2 linked regions of the Cricetulus griseus genome follow. The protein of the gene in region 2 interacts with the protein of the main gene of each other region in a pairwise test. Links are inferred from orthologs where the notes say so. Each region holds a gene or a part of one and is shown on either strand. Other genes may lie near its edges.

The links.
Region 1: the proteins of Bnip2 (region 2) and Klc1 interact in binary tests that used the Homo sapiens proteins (3 or more experiments, as listed by UniProt). The two-hybrid records come from large-scale screens. The link is inferred for Cricetulus griseus from reciprocal best matches to the Homo sapiens genes BNIP2 and KLC1.

The regions. Positions count from the first base shown.
Region 1 is NC_048598.1:182,250,817-182,254,316, forward strand, and holds part of Klc1 (kinesin light chain 1), read right to left. Parts: intron 2,377-3,500; coding exon 2,268-2,376; intron 251-2,267; coding exon 89-250; intron 1-88. UniProt on the Homo sapiens protein: Kinesin is a microtubule-associated force-producing protein that may play a role in organelle transport. The light chain may function in coupling of cargo to the heavy chain or in the modulation of its ATPase activity.
Region 2 is NC_048597.1:181,531,375-181,534,874, reverse strand, and holds part of Bnip2 (BCL2/adenovirus E1B 19 kDa protein-interacting protein 2), read right to left. Parts: intron 2,767-3,500; coding exon 2,590-2,766; intron 774-2,589; coding exon 597-773; intron 1-596.

The DNA.
Region 1 (3,500 bases), on a different chromosome or scaffold from region 2:
GAATCTAGCATGAGACAGAACAGCCAGCAAGTGCTGCTGGGGGCAGGCGGGCGGCAGCCCGAGCGCGTCAGCCGCGCGCTGTACTTACCCCGTTCCACTCTACGCTCATACTCACTTCCTCCCCGCCGTCAGGGCCACTCTCGTACTTGACCACGTCCGAGTGGAGACTCTCCCGGCTCCTCCGCTTCTCCATGTTCTCAGGGTCATTCAGCACTTCAGCCACTCTCTGTTTGTGAACAGTGTCAAGACCCTGTGAGCCAGGCAGGGGAGAGCGGTTTGACCTGTTAGCACTTACATCTCGGAAGACCTCTCAGACCTGGGACAAAGAGTCAGATTCCTTTACTTTTTGTTTGTTTGTTTTTGTTTCTCGAGACAGGGTTTCTCTGTGTAGCTTTGGAGCCCATCCTGGAACTCACTCTGGAGACCAGGCTGGCCTTGAACTCACAGAGATCTGCCCGCCTCTGCCTCCCGAGTGCTGGGATTAAAGGCGTGCGGCACCAACGCCGGCTCTACCTGCACTCTGAGCACTTTATTATCCTCTAATTATTTACTGTTGCCCGCCACAGAGCCATGCGGGAGAGGTCAGAGGGCATCACCGAGTCAGTAGGTTCTCTCCTTCCACCTTCATGTAAGTTTATGGGGCACAGAACTCAGGCTGTCAAGCCTGCACAGCAAGCACCTTCACCCAGTGAGCCCTCATTATCTCAGTGGCCCCAAAGATACCAATCCTTAAATTGCCAGAACAAACTCAGATCAGTGGTTCCTGGGGATGGGCTTTGGGCTTTCTATGGTCACAGTGAGAGGTGTGAGTTACGGGTCCCCAAAGCTCCTGAGCTTTGACACAGGACTGCACACTGTCCCCCACGTAGGCAAGTTGGTGTAATGAACCCCGGTACTTTCAGCACTTGGAGGGCAGAGAGGAGGATGAAGAGTTCAAGGCCAGCCTGGTTATGTTAGGCCTACATTTAAAACAAAACAAGTGCTGTAAGCAAATAGTGAGCTCCAGGTAACGATAGCCACACTAGAGCATCTGGACTAGAAACACAGCTAAGTGCTTGCCCAGAATGCACACTGGGCACTTGGGAGGGGTGGGCAGGAAGACCAGAGGCTCAAGGCTGACCAGTCTGTCTCAAATAATAACAAGTAACCCTGGCACCTTCCCATCTTTCCCTGTGATGTGTGACAGGATGCTTCTATGACAGGACCTGTCCTATCCCTGGTTGCTCTTCCAGAGGACCCGGGTTCAATTCCCAGCACCCACATGGCAACTCATAACTGTCTGTAACTCCAGTCCCGGGGATCTGACACCTTCACACCAATGCACATAAAATACAGTTAAAGGAAAAAACACTATGAGAGGGTGATGAGAGCATCCAATCAAAACACAGGACACAAGCGCATGAAAAGGCCACATTGATACCCAGGCTTTCCTTCTGGTTTGTCTTGGAGACAGGGTCTCTCTACGTAGCCCTGGCTGTGCTGGGATTCACTATGTAGGACAAGGCTGGACTCAGACTCACTGCCAGGTGCTGGGATTACAGGTATATGACACACCATGCCCAGCAAATCCATGTTCTTTTGTTTTTTTTGTCTTTTCTTTTGGGGTCTGTTTTTTTGTTTTGTTTTGTCTTTGAGACAGGGTCTCTCTATGTAGCCCTCACTGGCCTGGAATTCACTATTTATACCAGGCTGTCCATAAACTCACAGAGATCCTCCTGCTTCTGCCACTGAAATCCTAGGATTGAAGGCTTGCACTACCACGCCCAGAACCAGATGTTTTTACATTTAATTTTTTTTGTTTGTTTGTTTAAGATTTATTTATTATGTACAGTGTTCTGCCTGCATGTATGTCTTCACGCCAGAAGAGGGCACCAGATCTCACTACAGATGGTTGTGAGCCACCATGTGGTTGCTGGGAATTGAACTCAGGACCTTTGGAAGAGGAGGTAATGCTCTTAACCCCTGAGCCATCTCTCCAGCTCTATAGTTCATTTTTTTTTTATTTGTGTGTGTATATGTATGACCAATCAGGGTTACAACGCAAAACCTTGCCTCCCAAATAAATAAAAAAAAAAAAAAAAATAGGTAGGTAGGTAGATAGATAAGATAGACAGACAGACAGATCTTTTTTCCTGCAGTCAAGTCCATAGTCCTATGCATGTGACAAGTGTCCTCACAGAGCCTGAGCCAAAATCAAGCCTTCAATTACAACCACATAAAAGGTCATCATGTTCCAACACACGAGTCTGCAGAAGTGTCAAGCACACCTGTTTACGTGACCTCATGGCAGCTTCTTCCAATGTCTCTGCAGCTTCAAATTTCCCCTGCCGTCGGTAAAGTGCTCCAAGGTTTTTCAAAGTGGTTGTGACAGTAGGACTGTAAGGAATACACAAACACAGAACCATTATGTGCAATGCCCAGGACAGCTACTACCAACAGCATGTCTGAGCTGTGTGTTTTAGTGACAATGTGGTACCTCTCCAGGAATGCTTTGGTGCAGGACACTAAGGACAGTGATTTAACATTCTAAAATATGTTCTCTACTCCAGCAGCCTGGTGCTCAGTGCTGTTAGCCCCTACGGCTCTCTACAGAACCCCAGAGCATTCTCCCAGAGCCTGACCGTGCACAGTCTGCTGGCATGGCCACAGAAGTATGTGGCTAGTCTACCCAGTGGTCAGCACATTCCCCTGCAGGCAAAACTTGGTCTGTGCTGGGCATATCTCAGAGTCTCACCCCAACCTCCTGACCTGACAGCTATGGCAGACAGTTTGTAAAGGAAGCAGGGGCTGGGACACAGGACATGAGTGCGGCCTCATTAGACAGAGAAGTTTTGCTAAAAGATGGAAATAAGGGACCACGGACATGTTCAGTGGGTCAAGGGCTGCACAAGCATGAGGACCCGATTTTGGGTCCCCAGTGCTTACACCTTCACCCAGTGAGCCCTTGGACAGAGCCAAGCATGGAGATATGCCTGTACCCAGTGCTTACACAGAGCCAAGCATGGAGATATGCAGCACACACACACACACACACACACACACACACAGGGGCATACACACACACACACACACACACACAGGGGTACACACACACACACACAGGGGCACACACACACACATGGGCACACCCACAGGGGGGCACACACACACACATAGGGCACACACACACACACAGGGGCACACACAGGGGCACACACACACACAGGGGCACACAGACACACACACACAGGGGCGCACACACACACACAGGGGCAGGCACACACACACACACACACACACACACACACACACACACACACACACACACAGGGGCACACACACACATAGGGGCTAACAGCACTGAGCATCACAAGTAGCCTGACATGATGGTATGTATGCCTGTGTGATCCTGGCACTCAGGAAGCTGAGACAGGAAGATGAAGAGCTTAAGGCCAGTATAGATTACACAGCAAGACACCATCTCAAGATAAATAAAATCAGAAATAATACAAAGCTGTATT
Region 2 (3,500 bases):
TTGAACTTTTATCATTTTACTTCAAGTCTTTCATATTCCTGGGGCTGGAGAGCTGGCTCAGCAGTTAAGAACACTGGCTGCTCTTCTAGAGGACTCAGGGTTGATTCCCAGCATTCACATGGCAGCTCAAAACCATTTCTAACTCCAGTTCCAGGGGATCTGATGCTCTCCTTTTCTGGCCTCTATGAAGACATGAGACACACAAATGGTGGTCTTCAGGCACACATATACGTAAATTATCCATCCACTTAAAAAAAGTTAAAACATGGCAGGACAGTGGTGGCACATGCCTTTAATCCCAGCACTTGGGAGACAGAGGTAGGTGGATCTTTGTGAGTTCCAGGACAGCCAAGGCTACATAGAAAAACCCTGTTTCAAACAAACAAACAAACAAAACCAATAAAAAAACCAACCCCAAAACAAAACAAAAAAACCCAACCCCCCCCCCAAATAAAACAAAGAACAAAAATCCTTTTACATTCTCAAAATGACTTGAGAAATTTTCACTATTCTTTCAATCTCCAGCAACATTTTCTGACAGCCTTTAGATTTTGGACACTGCATCTAAAGATTCTGAGCATCCTTCTAACCCTTACCTCCATGGCTAATAACTTTTTTGTAGGGTTCGATTGCCTTCATATCCACCCTGTGGTCCTGTTCTCCAATCCTGAACATGCGCCAGCGGCGTCCATCCTCCTTTTCTTCTGTGGCTGTGTATTCAGTAACTGAGTCTTTCCTAATGACTTCAGTAGTTTTGGGTTTGGGAAGATCATCTGTTAAAATAAAAGTCTTTTGAATCACAAACTGTTATTTACAAAATAAAAATCAAAAGTGTATGTTAACCACTTTACTATCTAGATTATTCCAAGTTTTTCTGTTTTCTTATGGGTGTTCTGCTATGCTCCCCAACCCAGCCTCACACTCATGGGCTCAGGTGATTCTGCCTCAGTCTCCCAGTATCTGGGAGAACAGGTGAACACCACCACATCCAACTATTTACAAAGAATTTTCAGTACACCAGCTGAAATTATCATCCACATAACAAGAAAAGGTTTGTTCTTACTTAAGTCCAATTTATGTCTCTAAAATCAGTTTACCAGAACTTTCTATTGTCCAATTCAACAAAGCACCAAGTTATAGTGCATCATTTACAACAGGCTTAGGGAAGATAGAGCCATCGAGGTCTTACTATGTACGCTGGCCTCATATGCCTTCTCAGATCCCATTCAGGACAACAGTGTCCATTAGAGTTACTAACACCTTACTTCAAGTAACCATCAGAGAGCCAATTGTTTTATAGCACCTACATTAATTATAAAACACTGTAATAAAAGATAGAAAGTGGTTAACTCCTCAGTGATCATTTTCCGTTTGATCAGTTTTATAAAGCAGATATGTACTTTTCTGAAGAACACATGCAAAAATTTACATAAATTAACACTAGCCAAAGCACCAATGATTACATACAATTTGTATTTGCAGATTGCAGTTTAGTTGATTGAAAATGAAGTAATGATTTTCAAAACTTTAGTATGATAGTCCTTACCAAAAGATGGGGGAGGGGAAACCTACTGCATGTTAGTTGTTTCCAAGACAAAGCTGTTAACGGAAAATATCCTTCCAGGCAATGACTACAGCAGCATTAAGGAGAGAAGAGACAAAACACACAGGCAGAAAACTATTTCAGTGTCTGGATAAAAGACTGCTTCTTACTGGGCTGCTTACTGAACCAGTAAAACACAGAAGAAAAAAAAAGCTTCAGAGTATCACTCATTACCTATAAAGTGTCTACTGCTTTAAGTACAGTTTTGATGCAAAATTCACTTTAAAGATGAAACAAAAGGTTATTAACATTTGTCTAGCTATTATAATCAACTACTGCTTAATTCTAGAAAGCACACAAAACAAAACACACAGCAATGCCTCTGAACACAAAGTAATTAGAATGATAACATCTGATGGGGGCTGAGCACATACTACTTCAAGGAAGCAGTTTATAAGTGCAGCAGTCCTCAGCAACTCTCCTGCCAATCCTTATGTATGTATTACTATTACAATTATTATTGACAGGATCTATGCAGTCCTGGCTGTCCCTGAACTCGCTATGTAAACCAGGCTGGCCTGGAACTCAGAGACCCTTCTGCCTCTGGAGTGCTGGGATTAAAGGGATGCACCACCACGCCCAGCCCCTTAGGTGTTTTTTAGTACAGTCCTTATATGTCTCTTTAGAGGACTTTTTTCCTGACAAGAATATAATGGAATATTAGGCAATACTTTTGAAGCAACTATGAAAAAACAAACTTTACAATATTGGGCAAGTAAGGAAAAACAATACTAAACTAAATGAAAGCTACCTGCATAAGCTATAGTCTTGAAAACTTCAAGTATTTTCAGAATCTTCTACTTTTAGTAACAAACTTAGGAACTGTAGAAAAAATAACATATTTCAAACAAAAACCTTCAATGGATTTTAGCAGGTTTCACATTTAAGATTTGGCCATATACTACTTTTCCTAAAGAGAACACTATGGTAAACATTGTGTAATATAAACATCCATTCACAAAGCTCATATAAAAGTAGTGAATTACCTTCCCACTCAAATTCATCACTGTTCTCTGATGGGGTGTCCAAGCCTTCCAGGTCAACCTCTCCACCTTCATCCAAATCATCCGACCACACAGAGTCTTCACTAGGATCCAGGGTCAGGCTGATGTCTGGAGCCATTAGTTTCTTACGCACTTTATTTCCATTAACTTCTAATGAGCCTGAAATTGGAAAACAAGGAAGAAGCCTGGATTGCTCAGATGCCCCCAGTTGAAAGAGAAACATTTTAGTCACTTCATTCTTGAGAAAGCATTTTCAAGAAAATCCCAAGGCATTAATTCGTAAAACTTGGTTATGACCACTGCTGCTGCTTTTTAAAAAAGATATATTTTCATTTTATGCGTATGGTTGTTTTGCCTGCATGTATGTCTGTGTACCACATATGTGTAGTGCCTGAGGAAGCCAGAAGAGTTCATCAGATCCCCCAAAACTGCAGTTATGGATGGCTGTGAGCTGCAATGTAGGTGTTGGGAATTGAACCCAGGTTCTATGCAGGAGCAGAAAGTGTTCTTAACTGCTAGGACATCTCTCTAGACCCATATTTTTATTTCTAAACATGTACATGTGCGTGTATGCGTGTATGTGCACACAAGTGCAGTGCTGGCAGAGTCCAGGAGAGGGCACTATACCCAAGGAACTAGTTATAAGCATTGTGAGATGTCTGAGGTGGACTTTGAGAATTGCACTCCCTCTTCTTAAAAAGAATTATTTACTATTGCTTCTTTGGCAAGAAATCAAGAATCTATCAATGTCCTTTTTTAAACAACAGAGGCAGATTTCATAGTCAGTTATTAATATGGTCTCTTTCACTCTTTATAAAATTTTCCAAAACTAAAGGTGTATTTTTTTATGAAGTTGAATTTCTTAAGGATTTTCCAAAAATCTGCCCTTTGGC